3 linked regions of the Oryza sativa Japonica Group genome follow. The protein of the gene in region 3 interacts with the protein of the main gene of each other region in a biochemical or structural test. Links are inferred from orthologs where the notes say so. Each region holds a gene or a part of one and is shown on either strand. Other genes may lie near its edges.

The links.
Region 1: the proteins of phytochrome A (region 3) and nucleoside diphosphate kinase 1 form a complex in vitro, tested with the Arabidopsis thaliana proteins (2 studies listed by BioGRID). The link is inferred for Oryza sativa Japonica Group from reciprocal best matches to the Arabidopsis thaliana genes PHYA and NDPK2.
Region 2: the proteins of phytochrome A (region 3) and transcription factor PHYTOCHROME INTERACTING FACTOR-LIKE 13-like form a complex in vitro, tested with the Arabidopsis thaliana proteins (3 studies listed by BioGRID). The link is inferred for Oryza sativa Japonica Group from reciprocal best matches to the Arabidopsis thaliana genes PHYA and PIL5.

Annotation. Positions count from the first base shown.
Region 1 is NC_089046.1:22,870,917-22,881,597, reverse strand, and holds the end of nucleoside diphosphate kinase 1, read right to left. Parts: intron 6,727-10,681; coding exon 6,676-6,726; intron 6,538-6,675; coding exon 6,451-6,537; intron 5,889-6,450; coding exon 5,808-5,888; intron 5,712-5,807; coding exon 5,599-5,711; intron 5,471-5,598; coding exon 5,421-5,470; intron 5,163-5,420; coding exon 5,095-5,162; 3' UTR 4,810-5,094; downstream 1-4,809. Other genes in the region: subtilisin-chymotrypsin inhibitor-2A, read left to right, coding at 464-697. UniProt on the Arabidopsis thaliana protein: Major role in the synthesis of nucleoside triphosphates other than ATP. The ATP gamma phosphate is transferred to the NDP beta phosphate via a ping-pong mechanism, using a phosphorylated active-site intermediate. May activate MPK3 and MPK6.
Region 2 is NC_089037.1:25,403,456-25,414,136, reverse strand, and holds transcription factor PHYTOCHROME INTERACTING FACTOR-LIKE 13-like, read right to left. Parts: upstream 6,225-10,681; 5' UTR 5,906-6,224; intron 5,532-5,905; 5' UTR 5,475-5,531; coding exon 5,419-5,474; intron 5,315-5,418; coding exon 4,489-5,314; intron 4,413-4,488; coding exon 4,311-4,412; intron 4,223-4,310; coding exon 4,157-4,222; intron 4,083-4,156; coding exon 4,017-4,082; intron 3,907-4,016; coding exon 3,700-3,906; intron 3,588-3,699; coding exon 3,458-3,587; intron 1,414-3,457; coding exon 1,409-1,413; 3' UTR 1,041-1,408; downstream 1-1,040. UniProt on the Arabidopsis thaliana protein: Transcription activator. Negatively regulates chlorophyll biosynthesis and seed germination in the dark, and lightinduced degradation of PIF1 relieves this negative regulation to promote photomorphogenesis.
Region 3 is NC_089037.1:30,049,803-30,060,483, forward strand, and holds the start of phytochrome A, read right to left. Parts: upstream 6,960-10,681; 5' UTR 6,719-6,959; intron 4,135-6,718; 5' UTR 4,078-4,134; coding exon 2,013-4,077; intron 1,796-2,012; coding exon 979-1,795; intron 698-978; coding exon 401-697; intron 299-400; coding exon 91-298; 3' UTR 81-90; intron 1-80. UniProt on the Arabidopsis thaliana protein: Regulatory photoreceptor which exists in two forms that are reversibly interconvertible by light: the Pr form that absorbs maximally in the red region of the spectrum and the Pfr form that absorbs maximally in the far-red region.

The sequences.
Region 1 (10,681 bases), on a different chromosome or scaffold from region 3:
ATGATCCCCTCCATTAAATAATTTCTCATTCTGGATGTGTGCTAGGGATGGATAAATAATGTTATCCCAAACAGAAAAAGTTACGTACGGCCGGGTATGTGCTTCACGTGAAATGGGAAATATATGTACAATCAATGACGACTAATTTGGCAGCATGCATACGCGCATGGGCCAGTTTGATTCGATCAGCAACCGGACCACTGAGAGCAAAACACATGCTGCATGCATAATGCGTTTATATACTCGCTCGTGTATCACGCATATCAATGATCGATCACATGCAACACCGACATATTAAATTGACCCATGCATCGATCAATCCATCTCTCTAGCTATGCCTATAAATATACGCCATATTAAGCAAGCTAATTAAGCTAGCTACATATATATATATATATATATATATATATACTCTCTCCAAAGTTTACATTGCTGATATATAGCTCATCATCATCAATCGATCATGGCCGGAGTTGTGAGGTCGGCGGCGTGCAGCGGCGGCGAGGGGGAGCGGAAGACGTCGTGGCCGGAGGTGGTGGGGCTGTCGGCGGAGGAGGCGAAGAAGGTGATCCTCAAGGACATGCCCGACGCCGACATCGTCGTGCTTCCGGCGGGGTCGCCGGTGACCCTCGACTTCCGCTCCAACCGCGTCCGCATCTTCGTTGACACCGTCGCCGGCACCCCCACCATCGGCTAGCCTCCCTCATCTGCCTTCCTTCAGCGCCCGGGCCCCCGGCCATCTTTATCTTAATTAAATAATGATCACATGCACGCAAGTGATATGTACTGTGTGCATGTTTCGATCGATCCATCCCCATCTGAATAATGTTTTACCGTCAATGTTTTTTTCCTATGAATAAATATGGAAGAATCTTCTCCCATCGAACGTCCGACGTCCCAAAAAAAAATCAGACGGTATTCCGGTGACCAACGAGTGAAACATCAAATTATATATGACTAGTAATATACCCGTGCTAACGCAACGGTGATATTTAGTAGAGTAAAATGGACGGGCGGCTCTTAAACTTGTAGAGGTGTATCATCTAGGTCCCTAAACTCTTAAAATGCATATCCAAGTATCAGAACTTGTCATAGTATGTTCTCTAGGTCCCAAATCGCTACAACCTTCTGGATCCTACATGATACTGATGTGGCATGCCATACGTGCATGACATGGCATAATTTTGACTGACAAATGAGACCCATTTAAAAAAAATTCTTTTTCTTTTTTTCTTCTTTCTTCTCTTTTATTTTTCCTTTCTTCTCCTTTCTCTATGACCCAAGCAGAAGAAAGAAAAAAAAAAGAAGAATGAGAAGAAAACCAAAAAAAAGAAAAAGAAAAAGAAAAGAAGAAAAAAAAGACCCATCATGTCCATGTGGCATGCCACATTAGTGCCACATAGGATCTTAGAGGGGCTGTGTCGATTTGGGACCTAGATGATACACTTTGATAAGTTCCGAGACGTGGATCCATTTTAAGAGTTTGGGGATCTAGATAACATAACCCTACAAGTGTAAGGACCGTCTATGTACTTTACTCTGTAATCTCCAAAAGTTAATATTGTTTTTAGTCAAAAAGAAGTTAATATTGTTTTAATTATAAAGCATAGAATAAGGCTGCTGGATTTATTGAAGAAATAGCACCTATAGAACCTTTCAACTGATATTTGTAACTATTGGTTCTATAGAAATAGCACCTATAGAACCTTTCAACTATTTGTATAATAATAACTTTGGGATTTGAAGGATCAAATAACAGTGACTTCACAGTCGAAGTATGTGCTGAAAAAGGAAAAATAGAAACGTTGTTGCTAAATGAATAGAAATGCCCAATCCCCAGCTCTCAAAAACAAATAGAATGAAAAAAAAATTGAGAAACCGAGGTTAACTTCAACTGCTTCTCTGTGTCAGACTTGGCGAGCGAAACCTTCAGCCGGTGGCGAGCGCACATTACTCTTCACTATGTGTAGGTATCAGCTAAATACCAGAAGCGTCCGTATTCTATTCTAACAAAATACATATATTATCTACCCTGCTTATCCCTTGAAATGACAAATTGAACTGCAGTCTGAAAATGAGACATAATTTTATCAAAATACTAATAGTAATTAGAGAAGAGTGGCACTTACATTGTACTCGGAACAATTCTGCAAGCCTCTCTACATATAAAAGCATCCGGTCAAATATCAATGGTTGATATACATGCATGCATGGTTGCTTTTTGCAAAACATTCGATCAATAAAGGAAAGGGCTCTTTATATTTTCTTCGGTACAACATCTAACAAAAAATAAAACACAACACTAAATGCTGTAGCAATTACCAGTGTACATATTCTGTAAACATATACTTATAGTAATATGCCTGTGCTAATGCTTCAAAGCCAATCAGTAATGTAAATTAAAAGCATAGGATGAGATGGATTTAAGTTAGTATATTGTTGATTCCATAGCCGCATGCATAAAATAAAATCACAATTTTTATACATTTCTAACTATCTACAACACATATAAATTCGACCAGCTATTAATTTATCGTGTTCAATACAGTGTATTACAAAAATATTTTTCCTCACTTTTATTCCCAGTGCAGCCTCTCTTCTCCACTCTACATATCCATGATATGTACATTTTCTTCAGAGAACAAGTACTACAGTGTTAATCAGAAAAAAAAAGGACCGTGGAATTGATATGCATAACATCATTTGGAAAATGCTTAGTAATAGGACAAATCTGCCCGAAAAAAAGATTACCAATATTTGACTCTGGCATGCCAACAACGAGAAGAAATGTTTACATAATCAATTGATACTTTATTTATTACAGTTCTAATCCAAAGCCCAAAGGTCAATAATATTAGCTCGTAGGCAGCTACATATATCACTACATTCGTCATCTGCCCTCTTAGCCTTGAAGCCTAGTCATTCATTGATGGAACATATTACCAATCTCACGAACCACATAGTAAATATTCAGAAGGTACCAAGTAGCCAAGCACTGATTATTATCAGTTTGCTGCTCTATGCAAAAAGTAAAATATAATAAATAATAAATAAGAAGAAGAAAGAAAGAAAAAGGAGAATGGAAGTTCAAGAAATATTAAATACCAAGGTGCATCTTTATTTTTTACACATATGTACATGTAATGGCCAATCACATTCCAGCATTTTTTACTGCTGTTACAGCAGAAGGTGCATTTTGAAAAATCAAGAAATTATCTGGTTTCGAATTGCACTGAACAACACGCAATGCACCTGCATCAGGTAAAATTATAACACCGTGTTTAGTCCAAAGAACATTTTAAAGGAAATAGCACTTACATGGCAATACCTCAGATTGAGGGCAAATTACCCTGTTGCAACAACCATTAGTAATCCATCAATTTCGTCCCAAATCAATTTCCGGAGAGGAAGATATCTGATGCATTCAGATCCAATTGATAAGCCAAAACCATAATGTCTTGCTTGCAATTCCTATCAGGCAGGATCAGAGAAATGGACCTGCTCACGCGCATGAGCTTGGAAGTAGATCAGCCAGTGGCCTGGTTGGTGTCGACTCGGGATCAGCGGCGTCCGCGCCGACGGCTGCAACGTCAGGCGGATGGATGCCTCCACACTTGCAGGCTTGCGTTTCCCCAATCTTCGGAAGGGGAGGAGATCGCGTTCGCGTGGGGGAGGGGGAGGAAATCACGCGCTTGCGTTGCGGCGAGGCGATCTGCAGCCGGCCGGCTCAGGGAGCAATAGCCAGGCTTGGGGAGGGGGAGGCGCTACTGCGGCCAGGGCGACGATTGTGAGGGACATCGGCGCTGGGAGAGGGGCGGATTGGCGGATTGCGGGATGGCGACCGTATTCTCGGGCGTTTGACGCGCGTGGGAGGTGGAGACGATCCTGAGCATTGGATTTCACAGAGGTGATCTGAACCGTTGAGTGATGAATGTAAGAGTGTAGGAGAGAAAGATGAGTAAAATGAGTTGGTGAATTATAAGGTAGATGAAATAAAAAAAATCAGCAACTGACACATTTAAAAATTTTACCATTTTCATTTTCGTTCCAATCGATTACCATTTTCATATGGCTTGGCCGGTAGAAAGTCGGAAACGAACATCGGTCAGCTAAGAATTTCCGTTACCGTTTTCATCCCAGTATCAAGATTTGACGAAGAAGTTGTCGGGTCTCCTTAACGTCGCTGAGGAGTGACTAGTGAGGAAGGGCTCGTAACGCCTCGCCGAGTAGAGTAGCGAGGAAGAAGGGAACCCGGGCTCGCCCAAATATCACTGCGTGCCATTGGGCCGTGCTTGGGCCGGCACGAAGCACGATGGGCCATGCCGTGCTAGACCGGCACGGCCCAAGTCCCCACAATTACCTGAGTGTGCCCAACGCTCCAGATTTAATTTCGCATGTTGAGCCAATATGCTTTATGGCTAATCTCAAACACAAGCACTTAGCTGGTTTTTCACCTATAGTCTTGATTTTGAGATTTTATTTATTTTCGGCTATGAAGTAAGAAAATTATCAATGCCTTCAGTGTCCAGACTTTCAGGTGTTGAGAGGCTGAGGTACAAATGAGAGCTTCTGGGATGAAATATCAAGCAGTAAAACATTATCTCAAGAAATGCAAGCACCAAAAAAGATCAAACGAGTATCCCTTAGCCTCCTCATTTGTGGGTTGAACACCAATACGGTGACAATTTCATAACTGCTGATCAAGATATGGCTCATCAGCCAAATGAACTCTGCAACTCTGCACGAGTTCACCTCTGCTGGGAGCTATAGTACAACAGTGACAATCAGTCATCGGTCAACTGCCTGAGATAATTTTGAACGCATTCATCTGCATAATGACTTGGAAGTTGGAGCTTTGCTGGTATTGTTCTGAACCAATTACAGACATGCCAGGAGATTTGACAACAGAGAGTAATCGGTCAAACGCAAAAAAGGGAATGTTGGGTATTACAAAAAAGGGGAATGTCAGGGTGTACAGTCATGAGAAGGCCGAGCTTTGGTATAAGCTACTTTACTCTGCTGATCTGAACTCATACATAACCCCTCAAATCAAGAACAAGCACTGCATCCAGTTCTTGCACTGATCTGGGAGCATTACTCTACAAGCCATGGTGTCAGAACAGATTCCCATTCGCAGAGTTCGCCTTCTTTGAACCATAGAGCTACAGACAGAAAATGTGTAATGAGTTTATCATCTGTTTGTAAAGAACAAAATAGCAGGTCACAATAAAGTTAAGTCCAAGCTAACAAACATGCACGTCTCTAAGCACATAGTGCTGCTGAATTATTATTTTTAAAAAAAAAAAACATGATCCTAATCACTGTGTCAACTACTTCATTCTTCGTAGTACTTAAAACTCATGATTCTATGCACCTTATATTGTTATACCATGACTACTGGGAAAAGGAGTAGAACTTACCGATTTCACGCTTGCCGTTATCAGGACTGTCACTTCCATGGACAACATTCCTGGAAAGCAGAGTCCATAAGAAATTTAATTTCTTTGACAGAGATATATATGCAGAGATATCCGCTAAAATGTGAAAGATGTGGTAGATATAATAATGTTAAAACATGAAAGGTTGTTTGATTCCAACCTTCCTGTTTGAACTGCAAGATCGCCCCGTATGGTCCCTGGTTCAGCTTGAAGGGGATTAGTAGCTCCTATTAACTTGCGAGCTGATGCAACAACACCATTCCCCTCCCAAGCCTTACAGAACAGAACAACAATAAATTTAATTGAAAACAGTTTACTGATCAAAGTGCAGAGTTACAAATATGTTTGGTTCTTTACAAATATATATACCATGCAAACAACAGGGCCAGAAGTTATGTACTCGATCAGACCGGGAAAGAAAGGTTTTTCCTTCAAATCCTTGTAGTGCTCCTGTGCACATAAGAGAGAATTAGCAGCTCGTTGATTAAACATAATATACTCCTGGTGATTCCCTTCCTATGTGAAAACAAAGATAATACTGTATGCTCTGACGGTGAGCAGAAACCAGGTTTAACCACAAATTTCGATGGCATTTCTACAAAATTTTCTCCAGCTGCTTGGATATTTAATGGATCACTTTTCGTTGGCTGAATACAAGAAAAAGTGACTCGAAAGAACTATCTCAGCAGTCAGCAAAGAATGAGTACTTTGGATGATCAAGGCTGTCCTGAAATAACATACCAGACAGACATGCTATTTATCATTTATTCGATTGTGAAATTTCCATTCACAACAATAAAACTGTGATCTCCTCAAATAAGTCCATTCAAGTCTTGGCAAATTGCCCACTACCAAGAAAATAAACTGGGCATGATATTTTGTCATGCCACGCAACCATGGTATATTTTGAAATGGCACCATTGCTCTCCAACGATGATTAAATGGTGAGTCCCCAGATGGTGGAAGAAAACACTTTACTTTTGAAGAAAACGGTGGATATTAAGAGGCAAACCTGTGCCAAGTCCTTGGGGCACTGAAAAAGCTTTAAGCCCTTCAACACAAAGCCTTTCTTCTCGAAACGGGAAATAATCTCGCCAACCTATATGAACGAATCGACAGGAGTGTTTATCTGAGCTGAAAGAAACTATAATGGAACTACAGTATTCAGTAATGGAATATATTACGTCAAAAAAAAGTAATGGAATCTAAAGTTAGAAAAGTAAGTAAAATGATATACCAGGCCTCGCTGAACACCATCAGGCTTGATCATAATATAGGATTGCTCAACCTACAGAAAAAATAGATTTAATCTTATGGTTGATCAGGAAGAGATCACCTAAGTGGAGAGTTCTCAACTTCTAACTGAAATAACAGAATATTGAGGTAATCAGAAATGTCTGACATCTATTATATAATAAAAGTCCATTAAACTTCCTACAAATGCTCCCAAACTGCCACGTGTACCCTACAAACGCTCCCAAGCTGCCACTTGGCACTATGATAAATTATAGAAATTCTTAAAATTCTAAAAAAAAAGACAACACCCAACCGTTGATTTTCATTTAATCTGGTGGACCCGATATTTTTAACCATTAGATCAATCTATAAAGAAAAAATAATCCTCCAATCCCTATCAGTATTGTACCTACGTGGAGTCGTAGTAGGTATACGTACGTACTTGGACCCGTATGCCTCCTCTCTTCCTCCTCTGTTCCCTCTCTTATTTCTTATTCCTATTCTTATGCAATATTAGGTAGAAAGCACAATAGGTGAGCACAATTGACAATTAAACAAATATAACATCTAAACTGCTTATATTTAATCTTTCAAAAAGAATGTCATGTTTTGGTTACAATTTCTGACTTTTACGTGCCATTTAAATAATTCCAAAATATTATGAAAAAATAACGATATAGATTTTATCATCAAACATAATTACACAATAATTAAATTAGAAAATAAATTACTCCCCGGTAAGTCAAAATAATATAATTATACGTGTCTTATATTATATTATATACTATAAACGCTTATAAATTGCCACATGACTCTTTAATAAATTAGAAAAATTCCTACAAATTCTAAGAAAAAAAGAAAAATATCTTTAGCATTGATTTTCATTTAAAATGTTAGACCAATTAATTTTAACCATTAGATCTATATAAAATAATATAATGGTGTGGACCATGCGTACATCGATCTAATGTAAAGGATATGAGAATGGTTATAGCTTCGTTCGTACACTTACGGAAGAAGAAAACATTATATAGTAGTCTAAAAAATCGAGATTCATTTTTCTTTCTGAAACTTAAAAAAATACTAAAAGTCCATTATACTTCCAATAAACATTATCAAGCCACCACATGCATATTCTACAAATGCTCCTAAATCATCACTTTACGCTATAATAAATTAGGTAAAATCCTATAAATTCTAAAAAAAAGAAAAATATCTTACCATCGGTTTTCATTCAAATCGGTGGACCTATTAATTTTAACCATTAGATATATATAAATTAATGGTGTGGGCCATATACATTGATCTAACGCAAAGGAAAAGAGATCGGTTATAGCTTCGTTCGTACATATAGAGTACAAGACATTGGATAGTAGTCTAAAAAATTGAGATTCATTTTTTTTTCTTGAACTGAAAAAAATTAAGACTTTGATCGGTCACAATTTTGCCCCCATCGACATTACTCAGGACACTGTCAGCGTGAGGGGGCAAATTAGCTTGGGACTACATGTATGTATCATGCATGACCGAGCTAAAAGCTTTATCTACCAATTATTTTAGAAACTTAAAAGTTAAAAACTATTTAGTATTTAAACTACCATGGTTGTATAAATGGCTAATTCTTTCAAACAACAAAGATAAAATAGGATAAGCATTGTAGGCTTCATATTTAGGATTATGCAATATAAACATAATCACTAAAGGCCTAATGCATGTTAGCTAAGATAAAATCACAAAGTGATTGTTTGCATTATGTAAAATCCTAATGTTTAATCATAAATTTTAGAGTAAAAATATTTAAATCATGACAACAATCATACCACACTACATAATAATCACACATGCGGAGTTATTTTTCGCAATGAAAATTATGTTCCTGCTAAGCTACATGGAGTCTCACACACTCTACACGAAACAATAAACTATCTCCTACGCTGCAAAATCAATTTAGACTCGAGAAGGCTTTTTATTTGAAATATATATTGTGTCACGTGGACCGAAGGCATCCATTAATAAACAATGAGACAATCAAGTATACAGAGAAAAAAAAGCAAGTGCATCTCAGCAAAGGATACAGTAAGTTGTAAAATATGTAGCCAATTTGCTACATACCAAAAGGAACACCAAAAGTAACTATCAAGTTCGTTGATTGTTGGCAAACAATGATATCGGCACAAAGATTTATATATACCATTATTTTCATAACCAATCAATGTGAAATGACAACTTTAAGCCACTTTTCTAACGTTTTTAATTGAATATACAATTATGTTCATCACATTCTAAACAAATGATTTCCGCGAGAATATTGTTCTCATGTTCCTCAAATGTGCAGCCTCCTATGTGATGAGCCTTTTGCCTCGGACTCATGGGCTACCTTTAGAAATAACTTTTGTAATGTGTTTACATATAACTACTTTAGTGGAGTACTTAACCCAGAAGGTAGAGTTGAAGCTTTTACACAGTGAACTATTTTAGTGGAGCACTTAACCCGCAAAAGTAGTATTGAATCAATCTATTCCATTGGTTACAGAGGAAAAAAAAGTTCATTTTACATCCTAACGATATTTTATTCTTTTAAACTTTTTTTCTTCTCTACATACAAGTCATATTTCACTTTGACACATCAGGAGATGAAGGTCAATGATAATTAAACGAATACACTAAATTCCACGACCTGCATGTAAATGCCTCTAAGGTGTCAATACAAAATCAATAAGCATTTCGTATAACGATATGATTAGAAATTTCCTACTAATTTTTATTTTAAGACTCATATTAACTTGGTATTTTTCTTAAAAATACTGTAGGATCCTACGCATAAGAATCACTATCTTACATATGTATATTTGGTCAATTTAAAAAGGTGATAGCAGGTTAGTAAAAAATATATATTTATGAGCAATTAAAGTTTCTCAAGATTTTTAAAGAAAAAATACAATGAACATTCAATTAAGAAGGGAAACACCTCACTTTAATTTAAACTTATTTTGTTAGACATGTTTTCGAAACGAAATAAAAACATGCCCGCGCAAATGCGCGGGCTACCTTCCTAGTTTCATAAATAGACAGATCCACACTTATTCTGTGAAAATAGAAGCGACGAACTCAGGTTCCATACTTAAGCTAAGTCAAACAGCATCCGTAATACCTCTCAGATATAGGCATATATCGTGCCATGAAAAGAATAAGTGGACATAAAAAATGAAACAGTTCTACAAGTTCTGCTGATCTGCATCTTTGATTTCAGGGATTAAATGCGTAAGATTAATAAAACCAACATTGATGCACTAACACGTTACTGAGATTAGCAAACAGAAAATGGCTTTATGCTTGAGGGGAATAATGAAAAACTACAAGAATAAATTTGGCATCCCTTCAACATAACTCAATTTTCTCAACTATGCATAAACAGATTTAGATTGTTCTACAGTACCCCTTCACTGTGTATTTAAGACATTGCAAGTTGCAACAACTGTCATGCTGCATCGCAAAATGAGATTGCCTAAGGAAACTTGGACCTGTTCAAGTACTGGAATTTGAAACACGTTGTTGAATAATTCAAACAATCTCACAGTAGAACCACAGAGATCATTGCATTTATTAACAAAAAGAGTAAAAAAAATGAAGACCAAATTTTGGAATTCTGATGGGCACAAAAATTCTACATAATGACATATATAGCAAACATCTTCAATTGTACTGCACGAACTAGGCAGCAAATTAGATGGTTATCAGAGCATCCAAAATAATTGCCATGACCATTTCCATATGCGCATCACGGTACAAAAGCAACTCCTACTTGGCAATCAACACAATGTAGCATGCCTAAGTGCCATATTTTCATCAGTACTGTCTGCCGCTGACAGCAGCAAGGCAAAATTCTTACTTTCAGTTCAAGTTCGCTTCCTTTTTTTCCAATAACTTATGTCAATAACCATAGAATATTCCAGAAACGGGTACTAAAATTTTAGACTGACTCTTCTCAACAAAAAAGGAAATTCAGA
Region 2 (10,681 bases), about 4.6 Mb from region 3:
TTATCATGTATCTATAGAGGAAAAAATGCTGCATATACAACGATATCGTTTTAAACTGCTTTTGCTCTATTGTACGCCAAAAAAACAAAAATATGTGGAAAGCTTAAAACACCACTAGTTACAAATTTAAATTGCATTTGGTGTTGCGCATGCGTTCAATCTAGACAACCCGTTTTGGAGGATAAAATAAAGACCAAATTGATGTGGTCTCGCTTCTCAACCGAGAAAAAGGAAAAAATGTACTCCCTCCGTCCCTGAATATTTGATGTTGTTGACTTTTTTAAATATGTTTAACCATTTGTTTTATTTAAAATCTTTTGTGAAATATGTAAAACTATATGTATATATAAAAGTATATTTAACAATAAATCAAATGATAGGAAAAGAATTAATAATTACTTAAAGTTTTTAAATAAGACGAACGGTCAAACAAGTTTAAAAAAGTTAACGGTGTCAAACATTTAGGGACGGAGGGAGCGAGTACATTATTTGAGCTTCCCATGTATCCACAAACCGAACAAAAATCTAGACTATATTGAGGACACGCAAACCACATCGGCTCTCATAGCAATGCTGCCTATATCAATTGCTAATATAGAGGAAGAGAGGAGTCAAACTTCCATACGATGCACAACACACCAATTATTGCTGATGTAGAGGAAGAGACGAGTCGATTTCCATATGATGCACGGCAACAAAATCATGTGTAAGAAAAACTAGCTTTGAATAGTTGGCGATGGATCATGATCTTGACAGTGGATCAGTCACCCACAAATTTCGTGGCATTTAACTTTCTATCACTTTTAAAATATGATAATTAAGGATTTGCCACACGATTTATAACATGTAGGTCCAGTGGTAAATTCTCAATTACCACTTATAAAAGTGACAAATAGTTAAATATCTCACAAATTTCTCGTAGTTTTTTTAAGGGGGTGGAGAGATTGTGGAGAGGAACATGTTGGGGAAAGGGCCATCAAGGAAAACGGTGTTAGGTTGGGAAGAGAGAGAGAAAGGAAAGAAAGTGTGTCAACTTGTACTTTTTGAAAAGAAGTGTGTCAATTTATACTAACTACTCTTGTTCCAAATGTATGGCACAATTTCTGTCTCTAATGTTAATTCCAATGGTACAAAAGACCAGACCAGCCTTATGCTTTGAACATGCCATCATACCCCTAATTACAATCAGTTAGAGATCTTCAAGAGATTTTGCTAACATCTTCTGCACATCACAGCTAGTTCCTGGCTTCCCAAAGAGGGGAAAAAGCTAAAGAAATCGTCCCCCTGTCAAATTCCTCTGCTCCGTCCTGCTGTGCAGCTCAGTTACCTTTATTGCCATATATACTCATTCAGGATCAATGCAACCATGAATGTTTTCTTCCTCTTTGCTCTCACTCTTTTTTGTTAATTATCCTGCCAAGAACACAAGAAAAAAACATTGGTTAATCCTATACATATACAGATGAAGACATAAGAGATAGGTATAGTACGTAAGTATTATTGACTAGTATACCGATGGCGACAAGCTTAGAACATTACAAAACAATTGAGACATGGCTAGGCAAGCTGCACGCATGAGGAAGCTAGAATGGCCTAATTTTTGGGCATATGGAAAATTTTGTCCGAAAATGATGGATTCTAGCACCACCTTTCAAGCTTATCTTGTCCAATTGCACCAGATATTTCCTTTTATCAAAAAGGATTTTATTCGCGGCGAAAATGGGGTACCACTTGGTAATTTTCAGATGGCAAGTAGTTTTCTCATGATAATAACAGTAGAACAGACAAGTTGAACTAATAAATATGTTTTAGTACTATGAGTGTATTGTGTGAAAGAAAGAAAGAAAGAAAATGTTTATGAGGGTGATGACTGATAAAGACTATTCATGGTTCCAAATATAATTGGTTTTCCACTATTGTTGTGTATATGTATCGCATATGGAAGTTTTATTAATTTTGAAAGAACCATATGGAAGTAGGCTAGACTAAAAATTATGCGGAGAATCTCCACGGTACTAATCATTGAGCTCTGAAAAGTCAAGCTTCTTTCCTTGTCCCTCTTTTCCCCCTCTTTTTTTCTCTTGTCCGTATGCCTTTGTTCTTTGTTCCTATGGAGTCAAAATCCCTTCTTTCTTGTGCTTACAGGGACCAAAATGTGTAATTTAATCTGAAAAGTTTGAAATCTCTGCATTTTCTTTTATAGGCAGAGTACATATGACCTCTACGTGGATTGATATAATTACCACTTGCCCCCATAAGAAAGCCACTGATATACATGTGTATACGTCAGATATATACTGTATATGCTAATCATATATACTCTCTCCGTCTCTAAATATTTAACGCTATTGACTTTTTTTAAATATGTTTGACCGTTCGTCTTATTTAAAAAATATTTGTGAAATATGTAAAATTATATGTATACATAAAACTATATTTAACAATAAATCAAATGATAGGAAAAGAATTAATAATTACTTAATTTTTTTAATAAGACGAACGATAAAACATGTTTAAAAAAGTTAATGGTGTCAATATTTAGGGACGAAGGAGGAGGTAGTAAACACCTACTAACCACTATGAGACAAAAAAAATGTACGGCTTCCCGATCAAGCTTGCTCCAATAATATTAAGTCGTTGACATACTGATTGTGTCTAGGTTGTCCGTGGAATTTTGAACATGCTCACAATTTAAAATTAAAAATTTACTCCCTTCTCCCTCAAATAACTGACACTATTTTGACCTCAAATAACTGACACAATTGACTACGGCCATCTCAGTTTCAGCACCCTACTTATAATGCACTCCCTCCGTCTCAACAAAAAAAAACAATCGAAGAGGATGTGATTCCTCACAACGAATCTTGACAAGAGATCAAATCCTTTCTTAGGTTGGTTTTTTTCGGGGCGGAGGGTGAACTAGTATGGAAGTTGCACGGTTATAATTAGGATGTTACACCCCTGGACAAAATAACATATTTTTAAGTACTAACAAATTCTTTCTAAAAAAGATAAGCGGAAAGTTTAAACTACAATAGTGCCAGAGTCAATTATTTAAGAACAGATTGAGTAGGAGCACATACTTTCTCAAAGATCATAAGAAACTCTTAATAAAAAACATTTTCCTAAACCAAACTTATGTTATATGTACTACTAGTACATACTTCCTCCGTTTCATATTATTGTTTGACTTTTTTCCTAATAAAAATTCTTTAGGTTTGATTAAATTTATTAAAAAATTAGCAATATTTACTACATCAAATTAGTTTCACTAAATTTAAAATTGAATATATTTTGATAATATATTATTTTTTAAAAAATATTAGTATATTTTCTACAAACTTGATCAAACTTAAAAAATTTGAATAAGAAAAAGTCATATAACTTATAATATGAAACGGACGGAGTACAATTTAATCGGAAGAGAAGTAGAAGTAGAAGTAGAAGGATCCCATACCTGATCCTGTGTTGGGTGCATTTTCAGGAGGAGGCATAATGCTTCCATTTGGCACGTGAAGTGGTGGATTTTGCTGCTGCTGCACGGCCTTGGCCCCCAACGGATAATACCCCACTCCCTGCAAATAAAGCTGTCCCAATACCTCAGCAAATATAAATATTTCGCACAAATTTGTCTCAAACGAGCTGGGATTTGAGAATGTTTTTTTTTTTTGGGGGGGGGGAGGGCAATTTGTAAGAGACCTGGGTCGGCGGCGGCTGCAGGTGGTTGACGCCCAGGTCAAGGTGGTTCACCGGCGGTGTGGGCACCACCGGCTGCGGCGCCGCCATGAACGGCATCCTCGGCATCGCCGCCGCCGCCGCCCCCATCCCGACGCCCATCCTCGGCAGATACTGGTGCACCCCCGGGAACATCACCGGCGGCGCCATCCCGCTCCCCATCCACATCATCTTGACAACCAAAATCAAAAAAAAAAAGAAACCGATAAATATATAAATATATATATATATATATATTTAAATTACGCGCCAAAAACCGTTGCAGTAAGTGCACAGCTCACCTGCAGCTGCAGCTGCAGAGACTTGAGGTACTCGATCGCCTCGTCCAGCATCGACGCCTTGTCAGTCTAGTACAAGTTTTGGTTAATCTCGGAGGATTAGCGAGTGATTAATTAGTGTGTAGTTTAGTTAAGTTGGTTACCTTGTTGCAGTGTGGTATGAGCTCCTGCAGGGCTCTCATCTTCTCGTTGATCCTGTCCCGTCTCCTCTGCACAAACCACAAATGGTGCCAATGGCGTCAAGGTCAGACAGCTTCCCATGGCGTTAAAGACAAGGAGGAAAGAATTGGGACGCACCCTCTCGGAGAGGTTGTGCACCTCGGCGGCGCGGCTCCTCCGCGCCGTCGTCATCTTCGCCGGCGGCTTGCGCGCCAGCGCCGCCGACTCCGACTCCGCGTCCTGCATTGCATCCCACGCGCCGCCGGTGTCAGTGTCAGTGTGCGTCTCTGTTGGTGTTCGACGGGAGGACGCCTACCTCGCTGGGGCTCTCGGAGTCCTCGGTGGTGTCGAGCCGCTTGCGCTTGCTGCTCCGGTTGCTGGTGCTCGTCGGCTCCGTGGTGGTGGTGGTGCCGAAGCAGCAGTTGGACCGCCCCGACGACGACGCCACGGTGGTCGCCTCGTGGCCGTGGCCGTGGTCGCGCCCGCCGCAGGGGATGGCGTTCGCGCTCCCCACCGCCGAGGGCGGCGCGCCGCGGCGCCCGGGCTCGCTCGCCGTGCGCTGCTGCACCTGCACCTGGTTGCTCCCGCAGATGCTCGACCCGATCGCGCTCAGCATCGACGACGACGCGCCGCCGCCGCCGCCGCCGGCCTCCGCCTTCCGCCGAGCCGCGCCGCCGGACGACCTCCTCGCCCGGACGAGCTCCGACAGGTCCCCGGCGTTGTCGCCGCCGTCCGCCAGGCTCATCGTCTGCTGCCTCGAGCAGGACGCGTTCGTCGACTTGGGCGGCGGCATCAGCTCGCGCGGCGCCTCGGACGCCGCGCCCGGCCCGCCACGCTCCTCCTCCGCCATTGCCGCGTCGCCCTTGCAAGTCTTTCCTTCGCCGTCGGCGCCCGCGCCCGGGCCAGCAGGCGCCGCCTCCGCCGTCGCCGCGACGGGCGCCTCGTAGAAGAGGTCCGAGAAGATGTCCTTCTCCAGCGAGTCGGCGAGCGCGAACGGGAACCACAGGCCGGCCTCGTCTTCTTGCACCGCCGCCGCCGCCGCCTTCTCCGGCGGCCTCGGCGGCAGCTTCCGGTGGTGATTCTGGCTCTGCATGACGACATGGCCGTTGCACCAGAGCAGCTCAATGAGGTTGTCATCTTCGCTGCAAAAGCACAAACACAAACACAAAAAACATGAGAAAAAAGAAAGGAAAATCTGCATCCTGGATCAAACCGGCGAAATCTATGCTTCGATCAAAGTGCGAACCCGAGTGTCCTGGATGCGTCACCCATGTTGCTCCAATCAGGGACGAACTGGTTCATCGCTCATCAGATGGCAGCAACCATGGATGACGACACGACGATCTCCCCTTCACCTCACTGCAGAAGAAGCAGAGGGCACCAAAAAAAAAAACAACTTCTTCAGCTCCAAGAACAAAAGCAACAGCAAAAAGAGCTTCTTCTTTTTCTAATAAAATTAATTAACCTTTTTTATTGTAAAATAAGGGGAAAAAACAGTAAAGAAGGAAAAAAAACACTGAAGAATTAACTTCTTTTTTTTTCCTTTTTGTAGTGATGAAGAAGCTGTAATTCTTCAGCAGTTAATTACGATTATACCTCGTTAATTAAAACAATAAAGAAAAAACATGCATGCATCTTGTCCACAAAGGCGTAGAACAGTGCAAGAAAAGAACTCCATAAAAGTATATCAAAAGAAAGAGAGAAGTAAATTAAGAAAAGAAGCAAGAACTAACCTAATTAAGTAGGCCCAAGACTTTGGCTGGGTGCTCAGCTCAGCTCAGCCAATACTAGCTTCTTAATTTTCACTTGAGAAGAAGCTTCCAATAGGAAGAAGGCTAGCTAGAGAGCAGAAGCAGAGCAAGGAGGAGGAAGAAGAGGCAGAGGCAGAGCAAGGGGGACCGGGCTTGGCTTGGCACAAGCGATGGGCCTTTAAGTAGCTGTACAACATTGCGGTTGAATTGAACTGGATTCCTTGAGACAGACGCTGATAGATAAGATAGGTAGGGGAGAGAGAGAGAGAGAAAGAGAGAGAGGGGCCGGGGTCCGGACAGGGGAATGAAATCAACGAATGATTAGAGAGGATCAGAGGAGAGATTAGATTTAGTGGGAGTAGTACAGATTTTGCACCTGCAGATCAATGTGCATCGCCCAAGGATTAGGAGACCGGGCGTGCTGTGGTGTCGTGTGATCTTTTTTACTTTAACCGTTTCGAGTAACTTCGGTTTGCTGGTCTCGCAGCAGCGACACGCCATCTTTTGGAGTCGCAGCCTCGCAGGCAAATATATATATATAGAGAGAGAGAGTCTCTGATTGGAGGAGAAGCCGAGGAAGTGCCCTAGTTTGGCCGTTGACGACGAGCAGCACAAGTACGTGTACGCTGTAGGGTGTCGATGGTTCACACTACAGTCTACCACCAGTAGCAGTAGTGTAGTACTACTCCCTCCGTCCCAAAATAAACCAACTTAGTTTGATTTTTTTTACGGAGGAAATACTTCTGTAGATCTATTTTAAATTCCGAGAAGCGGCAGGACAGAATTTAGGTTGGGTTTCTGTAGATCTACTTTAAATTCCAAGAAGCGGCAGGGCAAAATTTAGGTTGTATTTAATTTCACCGGCAAAAATAATTTATCGGGTCACATCAGATATACAGACACATATTTATAATATTAAACGTAGACTAATTAATAATAAAACAAATTACATAATCCGTCTGTACTGCGAGACGAATTTATTAAGCCTAACTAATTCATCATTAACAAATGTTTACTGTAGCACCACATTGTCAGATCATGGTGCAATTAGGCTTGCAAGATTCGTCTTGCAATTTACACGTAAACTGTGTAATTAGTTTTTTTTTTAATATTTAATACTCCGTACATGTGTTCAAACGTTTGAGGTGACGGGAAAAGAAAAGATTGCCCGTGGATCTAAACACCCCCTTAGTTGATAAGAATATACAGAAATCGACATAATTTTATTTTGTAGATTCTGTAGTTACAGTTCTTTAAATCTGATTTAAACGAAAAGCTAAAGTATTTTTTACAAGAGTTTTGAAAAAAAAATTAACTGTGCTATCAGAAACTTTTATAAATTGGCTATATATCTAAAGTCTTCCACATCCTAATGATGCAAGTGAGTAAATAGGCTATGATTGTTAAGAAGAGAAAGTAAGTGAAAAAAAATAAATTTGAGATGGTTATGATTGGTTAGATGAGGAACTGGTAAAAAAAATAAATATATTTTTAATAGATGCAGCAAGGTACCAAAGTTAGCGCTTGAAAAAGTCATAGCGTCTGGTGCCTCTCACGGCTTGTTTTGCGACATGAGGAAAAATGATTGGGAGTTTAGACGAGAAAATTAATGGTGAGATTAACATGAAAAATTTATTTTTAGTTCCAATATCATGTTTGGTAGAGACAATGGGAATTGAAACGAAGATTAGTTGGAGATTAGATTTTAAATGAAAATAGATTGTTGGGATTTGTTTACGCAAAATGAAGGAGAAATTCCTTCCCAATTACCACCCACCACCTAGGCATTGAAAAGGATGGAGTTACTCCCTCAATTCCTCATTCTCATCCCACCAAAACTCTCTTGTCTTCCAACCAAACAGAACAATTAATAATCTCATCTCTCTAAACTCTCAATTCCTTAAAAAAAATTCCTCCAACCAAATAACCCGTCATGGACATTATAAAATCACTATATTGGCAAATATTGATAACACTTATTTAGCACAAATTTAGTTCCCATAAATTATATTTATAAGATTTAAATTGTCCTAAAATAATTGTCATAATAGAATACTAATGGTCCCATTAATCACTATCATTCAAATTTCTTCCCATTTACTCTCAACTATCATTCCACTCTACGTATACACCATTTAATAAGGGGTATTATAGTCTTTATTCTCAAACCTTAATATATGTTAAAATAATCTAGAATTATAATTATTTTGAGACTGATGTAGTAATTTGTAGGCATATATACCCACTCCATTGAATTCAAGTGTTAATTATTTAAATATGTTCAGAAAATCACGTAAAAACAAGTGTAACTGTTAACTGTTCATTAATGCGATGGTCTAACTACAATAAGTGTCACTGTTATCTTAAATATGATCCTTTGGGAAGCCTTAATGTCTGGTTGTTTAGGAAAATCTAAATAATCCCTACCACCCTTTACATCTATGTTAAGGTATGTCATCACGTCCATGTTAACAGTACACAGGACATTAAATATCCCGAAATTTAGGGGCTGGAGAACAGTGGAAAATCCATTGGTCGATCCATTGTAAATTGAATTAATATGTCTCCACGTTGGAAAGAAAGCAAAATCATCTAGACTCATCATGCCTAGCTAGCTGGATTGATATATGTTTTACCTACTAATACGTTTAGGCTTTTTTTCTAGTAAGAGGTGTGAAGAATTTTGTTATATGTATATTCTTAAAAAAAACTCACTTAAGTGATGATGGTGAGTGGTAACTCTGCCACTGTCTACACCCACCACCAGATATATATATCGGACCCACTAAGGCTGTGTTCTTCCTCGAATTTTCATAACTCATCTATCTCGTTTTTCACGTGCACGCTTTTCAAACTGCTAAACAGTATGTGTTTTATAAAAAAATTATATACAAAAGTTGTTTTAAAAAATTATATTAATCTATTTTAAAAAAAATAGTTAATACTTATTTAATCATGCAATAATACATGCTTTGTTTTGCGTGCCGGTCCTCCCAAAAGCAGCCTAAATTATAGCGAGTCGTGTGTACCCTTCATTCTCATGCTTAAGAGAGAAAAAAGCATATTCAACTACTCCATCCGTTTCACAATATAAGTTATTCTAGCATTTCCCACATTCATATTGATGTCAATGAATCTATATATATATATATATATATATATATATATATATATATATATATATATATATATATATATATATATATATATATATATATATATATATATATATATATATATATATATATATATATATATATATATATATATATATATATATATATATATATATATATATATATATATATATATATATATATATATATATATATATATATATATATATATATATATATATATATATATATATATATATATATATATATTCATTAACATTAATATGAATGTAGAAAATGCTAGAATGACTTACATTATGAAACGGAGGAAGTAGCTCAGTACATGTGACTCATGAGTATTCAGCTAGCAACAAAAAAGTTGCACAGTGAAGAAATTCAATCGAAGGAGTTGCATATCATGAAGGTTAAGATAATGATTAGCGTACGATCCGAAATATTAGAGGAGTGACGCACCATAAAATTTAATTCTCAAACGTTGTCACTCATTGCTAACAACTAAGTCAATACTGCAAAGTTAATTAATTGCTGATAGTGCAAAAAGGACGCTATCTTAGTTGTGTGTAGCTACGGGCAGGGATTATTCCATTTACACAATGTGTTATGGACGGTCATGACTTTTAGTAGTTGTTAATTTTGACTCTTAATTGCACAATTGTACATAGGAGTATTACAAGTAGACTGCCAAAACGATGAAAACACGACCTGTTTGCTTAGATATCTCTGGACTAGTTCATTTTGTTACCACTTTTAACTCTATTAAGTTTTGGTATCATCAAATTTTAGTAGAGTAACAACCTAAATATACTCTTCCTATATATTGTCACTTTACCAAAAACGTGTTTCAGAAGTTTCTTCTCATACAAACACTAGTAATTTTGTTATAAGACTAATTAACTAAACACATCCAGTGTTGCCAAAATTTAGTAACACCAAAGTGTGCTAAATTAAATTTAGCAATACCATATTTTGGTTAGGTTAATTTTGATAAATAGAAAACTGAACAAGACCTCTACTTGAAAAAAGAAAAAAAATGAATGATCGTGATTCATTTTCTTTCTGTCCTCGAATAGATGGCATCTATTCAATGTGTATGTGTAGCCAAACCTAGCTAGCTTTGTATATGTATATATATATGTATATATATATATGTATGTATATATATATATGTATATATATATATATGTATATATATATATATGTATGTATATATATATATGTATGTATATATATATATATATGTATGTATATATATATATGTATGTAGGATATATATATATATGTATATATATATATATATATATGTATGTATATATATATATGTATGTATATATGTATATATATATATATGTATATATATATATGTATATATATATATGTATATATATATATATATATATATGTATATATATATATATATATATATATATATATATATACACACACACACAACTATTAATACTTTTAATATGTACAATGACAATAGTACATTTTCATGAAAACATATATTTATTTAATTAGTTATGTTTCAATGATTTATGTTAATATAAGGTTAGAAGATCAAACATGTACATTAGAGATTGGGTCAATACCATATATTTCAAGTAAAAAAAACAATGGAGGC
Region 3 (10,681 bases):
AAGTTTTAGTCCCATCTAAACAGGGTCTCAAGCAAAACAAACTGAGCAGCCTAAACAGTCAATTAAGTAATTTCACATACCATTTCATGATTATTTTGCTGGAGCAGAAGCAAGTTCGACGCTGAGGATGAAGGTTGACATGCCAGCTTCCCTCATATGTCGGACATCGCCATTCATGAGCCTCAGCAGGTTTCTAGAAACCGCAAGACTCATGCCTTCATCCGACTGCTCCTTATTGTCATCCTCGTACATTTGTGACAGCAGATCTGCTGGGACTCCTTTGCCCTGGTGCTTGATCCTGAAAAACATTGATCCACAAGAGTTAATACACATCATTTTATACTTCAAGACTGTCTTAACAGAAAGAAGAGTAAGCGTGCAAATGTCATGACTAACATACCTAAGTTCTAGGTCTATGAGATGAAGGTTTTCCCCAATGCTGTTCTTGGTCAGGCTACAAGAGATCTCAACAGAACCCCCAACAGGAGAGAACTTCACTGAGACGAATAGGAAGTCAGAGAGAATCTGCTGTAGTCGAACACCATCCCCGTAGACTGTTTGCTTCATATATCTCTCCGGTAGGTTGCAAGAGACTCTAATCCCTTTTCCCTGGCAAGTTATGAGTACTTGACTTACAGCAGCCACAAACACATCTTGCAATACAAACTCAACCATCTCCAAATCCAAGCAACTAGACCTGTGAACACAGCAGCAGGAAATTAGTTTGAAGATAATAACTAATAATATATATATAAGGTTTGTACTGAGTAATGAGTAAAAAACCACTGGGACTTGGTGCAACAAATTCTTTCATTTTGAGAGAGCAAAATTGACCACTTGAAGATAATACAAACACATAAGACTATAAGAGCAACACCATCGACCTGTTAGGTCTGACAATTGATGAAGAACAAAGGTAGCTGAAAGTAAATACAAGAGCCTAAGAGAGTAACTTAGAATACTTGGTAAGAAAAGTACTTGTTCATGACGCTATCTTGATCCAAGTCAGAAAGTATTTTATTCAGCTGGCGGTGACAACTATCTGCAACATTGACCTCCTTCATCTGCTCTTCATTCAGACCTGTGTTCTTCAGTGCTTTCCTAGAGTAAAGCATACCTGAGAGAGGGTTGTTGATTGCATGTCTCATGTAGGAGTAAGCTTTCAACTTTGTTAGTGCATTCTGCTGTGAGGCTTGCTGCACATGTAGTGCATGTTGCAGCTCATGACTAGGAACTTGAATGAAACAAAATACTCCAGTGATGACACCATCTGCATTTACTTTTCTGTTAACAGAAAGAAGGCACTCGATATACTTCCCGTTCCGGTCGAAGAAGCTGAATGGAGCCTTTTCTGTTTCATCACCAGCTAATGCACTGTTGATAAGAATGCAGAGACTTACAAATGCATCTTTATTCTTCACAAGACAGGAGGCGTTGGTGCTATCAAACACCTCACCAAGAAGCATCTTATTGATCACCTCATCTCTATGCCACCCGGTCAATTTCGTCATGGCAGCATTCCACTCAGAGCACCATCCAAATTCGTCAGCACCAAATATGGGAGGAATAAGCGGGCTTGGATTGTGAATAATTGCTTTGTAGTCTCCCTCAACCCGAGTAAATTTGTCCATGACCAACTTATGAACAGTCATATCTTGTGCAACAAAGCACACACCAACAACATGGTCGTGAAGGTCCCGGCTGGCACAGGCATTCACAACCAAGATAACAGGGCCATCATCTCTCTTGGAGCCATGAGTTTTCACCTCAAATTTCACTTCCTTCTCTTCTTTGCCTGATCAATCAAAGAAATGTTTAGAAATCAATCAACCCACAACGCAGCTGAATGTCAAGTATTAATGTATGAGCATGACAATCAAATGTAGCATATCTAGGCATTGAACATTAGAAAGCAACCCCAAAGTTTTTTTGATAAATCGAATTGCCAAATAAGCAGAAACTTGAAAAATACTGGGGGAATAGACAAAAACCACTATAGCTAATTTACCCACCTTGCAAAGCTAAATACAGCATCCTCTGGACAACTGGTACAGAAGATTCCTCTACAACGGTAAGTATGTGTCTTCCAATAGCCTCATCTACTCTCAACCCTGTCAACTCAGCAACCTTCTGATTCCATCCATTGACCAATCCATTGCTATCTACAGCCAAGATTGGGACAGTTGCTGTTTCCATGAGACGAACCATTTCACTTGTAACTGCCTGCAATTCAGCAAGCCCATCAAGCTTGAGATCACCAACCTGATTATCTAAACTAGCGGCCCTTGTTGGCTTGATGTCATCATTCAGTGTCCCTCTAAGTATAAGTTGTAATGAGTGAATAGCATCCATCTCATAGTCATTCCAAGGCAAGCTCTTCATCTTGACAACCTCAAGGAATGCCTTGAAGGACAGCCTAGGGTGCATTCTTCTGCTGTCATCCTTGTCTGATGGATCATGTTTTGCACCTCCCCATCTGATTTCAGCAGCTGTATGTGACCTGAACCAGAACAGGATATCCTTGGAATTTATTTTAGCTACTGCCATTCCACAAATCATATCACCAAGAGCAGCAGCTCCTGGATATCCAGCATCATGTAGGCTATCAGTACTCAGGCCAGTGGAATCCCTGTGGACATCTGACAGCCAGAAGGCAATATCACGTATCTGAGACTCAGTTGGAGCATTCTGTAGCCGCCACACTTTTCCCCCATACAAAAGAGCAGCACCATCACATTTCACAAGGTCCATGATGTTGGGAGTCCCTGATACTATACTCAGAGGAGAGGATTCCCTGAGAAGCATGTCAGAGAGCATTGTTTGCATCCTCAATATGCTTTTCTCGCGTACTTGCCTCTCTAATTCAAACTCCTTGTTAACATGGACAGCAAACACTTGTGCTAAGAACTCACAGGCATACCGCAATGGGAAAGGAACATATCTGGGGCTCTCATGGTGGCAAACAAGGAGTCCCCATAGTTTCTTCCTCTTCTGCTGTTGTGCAGGTTGATCAGCCCCAACTTCATCATCATCCTCATTCTCATTAACCACAACAGCCATGACAAGGGATGCAATCGAGTTCATGTTCTCCATATACTGAAGATGACAACTGTGTGGTGCCCTCAGTGTTGAACCACATAAGCTAATATCCAAGTGGAGCGACTCATCTTCGATAATCTTGATAGATCTTGCACGGCAATCACAAATCATCCGGACTTTGTTCTTCATGAAAAGAAACCTGGCTGCCTGAGGGATATCAGTAGCTGGATAATGCAGGCCAAGATAAGGTTCAAGACCAGGCTTTGTGATCTCAGCAAAGACTTCACCATGGTCATCTTCATGGAACTTATAAGCCATAACTCTATCATATCCTGTGAGGTCAAAGAGTTCCTTGACCACCGTATTGCATAGCACCTCCATGCTTCCACCTGGCAGTGACTGGATCTTAGAGATTGCCTTGGCAGCAAGTTTGTAAGATTGCAAAGCCCCAGCGGCAGTTGCTGGAAATTCTGTAGGTTTCACAGGCTCAAAGTCTACCACCAAACAACCAGTTGCCCGATGAACAATGGCATAGAAAGGCTTGCCTGAGGTCTTGCATTGAACTAGGATAGGGTTCAGCAAGGAAACATCAGCAAATCCCAGTGCCTTCTGCAGTGCTGTGGCACCTGGGTCAGTGAAAAGAGACCATACATTGGTGCCAATGCGTAGCTTTGGGGGATCATCAACACTTGGCACTGCATGGCTGACAGTTGTAAGCATCTCTGGTGCATTCTCGCTGAGCGCTATAACATTGAAGGTCTTCTCATCAAGGGCCAACAAGCAACCAAATGGTTGGATTAGCTTTGCTCTCTGAATGTGATGCAAGTAAGCTATGACCTTCTCAGAACGAGCTTGCTGCTCAGGTCCAGTAGTTCTCTGTGCTTCAACCAATTTGGAGTAATCAAAGGAGTCGCCATATTCTTCATATTCAGCATTGAGTTCAGCATCAAGAGTTGTTTGTGCTAATATCCTTGCCCGGGAGCTTTGGCGGGTCCTGCTGGATGAACTGGAACATTGAGTAGGTCTTGAAGAAGACATCTTCTGCCTTGATTACCTGAATCACTCAAGAGTCTTATCTGCTGTATACCACTCCTGCTGAACAAGATAATATAAGTTGAAAACATCAATCAGTAAAACAAAAAAGTATAGCAATCCACTAATATCAATAGATGCCTCAATCTAGTGGATAAATGTGGACTATCAACTTTGATCAATGCCTAAAACCACATGATTAGACTTCCTTGTTGCCTGAGCAGTTCAGAAAAGAGAAATGTTTTTGTCTTTCAAGAGCTTGAGAAATATAAAAAGTTAGCCCTGCTAGAACTCGATGGATGAAGTAAGAACGGTTGACGAAGTAAAATAATACAATGTTAAAGATGCTATTGAAGAACGGTCAACAAATCTTAGAGCATTAGAGGACTAAAGTTTCTCCAAATACAACTGCAGGCACTTGTGTTAGCAAATAAGCATGACATCTCCTGTAAAGCCAAAACCTTTCTGAGGAATTTCCTTCACTAATCTGTGATAAGATATTCTCTACTTTGTATTTGTCATTCATCTGATTTTCATTGGCATTACATGGCCAGTCTTTAAGATTTTCAAAGGCATGAAATGCAGGAAATCTAGTTTACATTCTAAAAACAGTATAAAAGGAAAGCTTCCACATTCTATAAATTACTACGTTGATTGGAGGAACGCTAAAACATATCCATTATACTTATTGTGGTGGATCTAGATTATAGTGTGGGAGATTAATAGGATATATATTAGAGCTATTTCATAAGAAACACTGTTGCATATTAGTTTCGATACAAACATGTTATTAGTATCTAACTGCATAATTGCTTGGAAATTCTGCTAGTTTGATGTTTAGATTTACTCTTTTTCAGCCTAATATTCCCTCTGTTAACACATGTATGCCACTCTGACATGGGCATGGTAAATGGTAATCTAATACAACTTCGAGTCTTTCACCACTATACATAAAACTATTTAGATTGGCGCTGTAAAAACAGCAACAATAGATCTGTTAGGGAAAAAAAATTCTCCAAAGTAATATAATTTTTAAAGGGTTTCATTTAAAATAATAATTGAAATAAGCCGTCAAAGGTACCTTGGACTCACGGAGGCTGCACTTTCACTAGTCTCATGGACCAAAACCCCAACTAAATCTCATATGAAGGTACTATACTGGGCCACATACTGGGATCAGTTTTAGGACCAGTTGCAAAAGTGTGAGGACAAGGACAATATCCAGTTTGCATGGCGGACTTTTGAGACAATGATCATGCAAATCTTCGCCATGGATGGAGATTTAGAAATATGATTGATTCCTGATTCTTTTAATTAGTCCTTATGTCAATGTTTTCATATGGTTTTCTTGTCCTCTTGGTGTTTGTTACTTTCAGCCAGACGTGCTGCAAATTTTGTAATGGTGGGTTGTAATATCTGCTGATGCAAAGACCCGGATTTCCCATTATCTAAAAATCTCATGGAACTATATTTTTTACCAAAAAGAAACTACAAACCATATTCAGTTGTAGTTACTAATAAAAAGGTGAAATATCTTAGCTGAATGGAAGTTCACAGACATCACAGAAGACGGACTTGCTCTAAACAGCTGAACTTAGCATGTCCATGAAATTAGTATGATGGACTAATACGAATGATCAGCATCAAGTGCATTTTTATCATTTGGAAGGTTTTATAGAAAGCATAAAAGAGTCGCTTATCTAAAAAAAAACTGAAGCCGCTTATTATATTACTGAAACAGGTTTTATAAGTCTTTGCTGTGCATACAACAGTGGCTAAAAAAACAACTTGTGGCTTAACTTGTTTGCAAGTCCAAATTTGGAGCAAAACCCCTTAACAGGACGAGCAACATCGTTTGGAGTTTGGACTACTCGCTCCTCCAATAGTAGGCTCTTATGTAGCAACATTTTCAATTGAACTCATCATTTTGTTTTCTCTTTATCCCAACATATGGGGATTTTGAGTTATGGCTTTTCTGACAATAAAAAACAACAACTAAGCAAAGCCAGATTAAATCTTCTCAATATTTCTGCAACAGCACACTTCTCCAGGATCAGCAAGTTGTTCCTGCTGCTTTCCACTACCCCTCACCTTTGTTCCTATCCTCTTCCTGTACCAAGGCTTGGGGGTGAGTCAGTGGACACTGACGTGGCACATGGATAGAAGCACTGAAGCAGTACCCCCTCTACCAAGAACCACCCAGTGGCACCCAAAGTCCAAGAAATCCACCACTAAACAAATCCTAAAAAAACCCATCTCAACAGAGACAAGCACCGAATTTTATCCTCTTTGCTTGCCATCCATCACAAACCCCAGGAAAGGGGATTTCTGAATCATCAATCATCAGTTCATCACACTCGCATACAAGTTCAAGTTTTTTTGTTAATCTCAAAGATGCTAAGCCCTGATCACAAAAAATACGAACTAAACAAGAGCACCCTCCAGTCCCCAACTCCCAAACATCTCTCACCACATCTCTTGTCCCCCCCAAAATCATCAGAGAAAGAGAACACCACACTACAGGGCAGCACAGCCCGTTCCTCTCCAAGAAACGAACAAGCAGCAGATGATGCTAGCTAAGGCAGCATCCAACCATACAAGCGAAGAGCAGCAAAGATGGGGGAAGAGGAGGGATCGACCGGGGTACCTGCTCGGCTCAGCTCAGCTCTGCTCCAGTAGTGGCGGAGCTGTGGACTGTGCGGGAAGAAGAGGAGGAGGCAGACGAGACAAAGCCAAGGCAGCCGCACTCGGGTGGCAGTGGCGAGCTGAATAAATAAATAGCCTAGCCTGTGATGGTGTGGGGGCTCAGCTAGTCAGCTGTGCTGTGCTTAGGCCGGGGCTCGCGTCGCATCGCACGCACGCACCGGCCCCATCCTTCCCCCATCACCCCGATCACCGGCCGGCGCGGATGGGGTCGCCGTGGGGAGGTGAGGTGTCGCGGATTTACCTCGACGCCAACCTGGAGTTAATTACCGCCAATAATTAACCTAGGGAGATATATATATATATATATATATATATATATATATATATATATATATATATATATATATATATATATATATATATATTAAATTTGTTTGGTGCTCCATGGTGCCCGGGCACCATTGTTGAAATTGAGTATATACCTAATTCAAATGAGTATGAAACTTTTTCAATTACTTAGATATTAACATTAGCTACTTTACTAACTAGTTCAAAGCAAGTTTGAACTGAATTTGAACTTGTTTTTGTTAGATTTTGATTCTAGGTATATAGCATCCATACATATAATTAGTTAGGTATGTAATCATGGATTGTGAAATAAAGTTAAATTTGAGTTGTTTTGTTGATAGGTATAGGTATGAATCGAGTTATTATAATTAGGTATATACTCACAATTTGAAAATTTTGAAAAATTTGAGTGATTTTGTGTATTTGATATCATGGTGCCCGGGCACCATGGTGCCCCATATGAGTGTCCTATATATATATATATAAATAATACAAAGGGAAAATTTAGAAAACATGTAAAATAAACGTAGATCAACTGATTGAGTTTCTTGCAGTGGGATCTATTCACCTATGACTAAGGCAATGTTTGGCTAATGTGATAGGGAAATGATTTTCCACCCACCAAAAGACATATTTAAATCTTAATCATTCATTCTCCCTCTTTCATTTAATCCTAACCCTTCGTTCATTTACTAATCCCAATCCCACTCCCTATTTTTCATTATCCAAACACACCCTAATTACTTTTTTAAGTAGTAGATGACGTGTTCAATCTCAAAATATACTAATAAGTTTGTATTAGGAAAAATAAAATTCAGAAAATACCATTGCAAGATGGATACGTGAGGTGTAAAATACCATTTTACGTGATAATAAATGTATCAATAAGATGATTTTTTTTTACTTCGTGGATTTTTTAACAATAAGACCAAATAAATTGGCCGTTATATTTATGACCGTGTTTTTATTAAAGGACACCAAAATTTCTGTATATATTTACACTATGAATTATATGTAGTGTAATATAAATTTTAAATATTTATAGCCTGATTTTTAAATCTTACGAAACTTCAGTACTTGCTTATGTACTTAAAATCCTTGGAAAAATTGCTAGTGTAACTTCCACACATAAATAGAAAAGTTAATGAGAAAGAGATATGAAACATGGAGTACATACAAGAGAGAGTTAGGCTGAGTTCGGTAAACGGTATCTTTCTTCTTTTTTAATCACGTTTCCTGAACAATTAAATAGCGTATTTCATGTGATTTTTTAAAAAATAAATATATTTTTTCCAAGTTTATAATAATAATCGATTAATTATGCACTAATATGTTTTTTTCGCATGACGTCCAAAATCCTAGCTAACTCAACGGGTCTACCTTTCTCAGTCCTAGTAATAATCACTTAATAGTTCCTAAAAAAATGTAATCGCGTAATAAAAAAAGTGACTTAGCAAAACTGTTTAACCTGTCCTGCTTAACCCAATAGCCTGCGTAGTAAACTAGTACTCCTCCCTTCTTTAAGCACAATCCGTAAGCTGATTGGGACAGAAGAACGCATAGAAAAACTCCCAACAAACTTACAAATTTAGTAATAGTACGCAGCTGTACACCAGTGGCCATGATACTCTATTGGACGAACAGCTCGGGGTTAGTAGAGATTACTAGATTATAGATCGAGATTAGCGTTAGTGCCATCATTATCACCATCATCTAATTGGGGTTTAATTAAGTAGAGCGAGGGAGCAGTGGCCAAGAGTTGGAGTTGCACTTGCTCTTTGGGCTTTGGTTCTTTTTCGACTTCCTTTTTCGTTAACTGCAAAAGAATTTCTTACTACTTTTGGGTGACAGTGCACCCGTGGCCCTCCTAGGGGTTTGGTATTTGGGGCTTTCCACTTGCGGACATGGCCATGTGACCCGCACGTGAACGCCCATGCCCCCGCGTCTGGGGCTCTCGGATGCTTTCGGCTCGCAACGGGGTTTGGCTTTTCTTTTTTTTCTTTTCCGCTTTTGAAGACTGGGATCAGGCACAATTCATCGCGTGATCTGATCCTAGCTCCTGTGGGAATTCTGAGAGGAAGGTCATATGAATCTAGTAAAAAAAAATACAATGGAAACTAATCTTTTATTATGATATAATTTTTAAATAACTTTTGTAAAAAAAATCCCCAGATAGCATGAGTATCACAGAACACTAGGATTTATGGATGTTTCAATAAATAATGCATTTTTTAAGCAATTAGTAATCTAGTATCACAAAAACATAGTTCCATTAATTTTCGGTCACTTGACAGGTGAACTCCGTGTGTTAATCTCACGTGCCTTTTCTTCCCCTTTCTTAGTCTGGTGACTTGGTGAGAGCAAGTTTAATACTCCGTTTCGAAATGTTTGACGCCGTTGACTTTTTAGCACATGTTTGACCGTTCGTCTTATTCAAAAAATTTAGGTAATTATTAATTCTTTTCATATCATTTGATTCATTGTTAAATATATTTTCATGTAGGCATGCAATTTTACATATTTCACAAAAGTTTTTGAATAAGACGAACGGTCAAACATGTGCTAAAAAGTCAACGTTGTCAAACATTTCGAAACGGAGGGAGTAGTATAGCCAACTACTAGCTTCAAATCATCTATAGCTAATATAATAACACATTCATACAATAGTTAACTATAAAAATATACTCACTCTGTTCCACAATATAAGGGATTTTCAGTTTTTGCTTGCAACGTTTGACCACTCGTCTTATTCAAATTTTTTTGCAAATATAAAAAACGAAACGTTGTGCTTAAAGCACTGTAGATAATAAAGTAAGTCACAAATAAAATAAATAATAATTTCAAAATTTTTTGAATAAGACGAGTGGTCAAACGTTGCAAGCAAAAACTTAAAATCCCTTATAATATGGGACTGAGGGAGTACTACATTATTAATACCTGGTCCCACCTCTCATACACACATAACGTTTTGGAGTTCGTGTTGCAGCTGGCTACAAATCTACAGCCCGCCTTTTTCTCTCTCTTCTCTTTTCATCTCGATATGTGGTTATAGCTAGCTTATAGCTTGCCATTGTACATGCTTGAGGAGGAGTGGACCCTTAATGAGTAGGAACACGATGATGAAGTGAGCGCAGAAATGGAGATACATGCAGTCATGGATCAAGGTTCTAGAAGACAGTGGAGCAAGCAGGGGCTCACTCCTATTGGCAATGAAGGTATTAATACAATACCCTACGTATGTGCACATATCTTAGTTAGAAATATCGTATACCAAATTCTATTAAAAAACAAATTCTGGAATAGAGTCGTGAGAAGATAAGGAATGAGTGTTCTACTAGGTAAGAAAAGATAGGGCTTGTTTAGAAGAGATTTTGGCAGTTGCAGTTTCTATCAGAATTGAAAGCTCCTCAAACAGTCCAGTTTATGAGAAGTTGTAGTTATATAATCGAGAAAATAAACTAGAAGCTAAAAATTAGGGTTCCTAGCTTTTTTCAGATTTTTAGAAGCTGACTTACTACCAACTAATTATTTTTTCAGAATCTTTGAACTTTCCCAAATAGGACCATAGTCCGACTTGGAGCTATCTAGAACCGCCTGAGATAATATCCAAAATGAG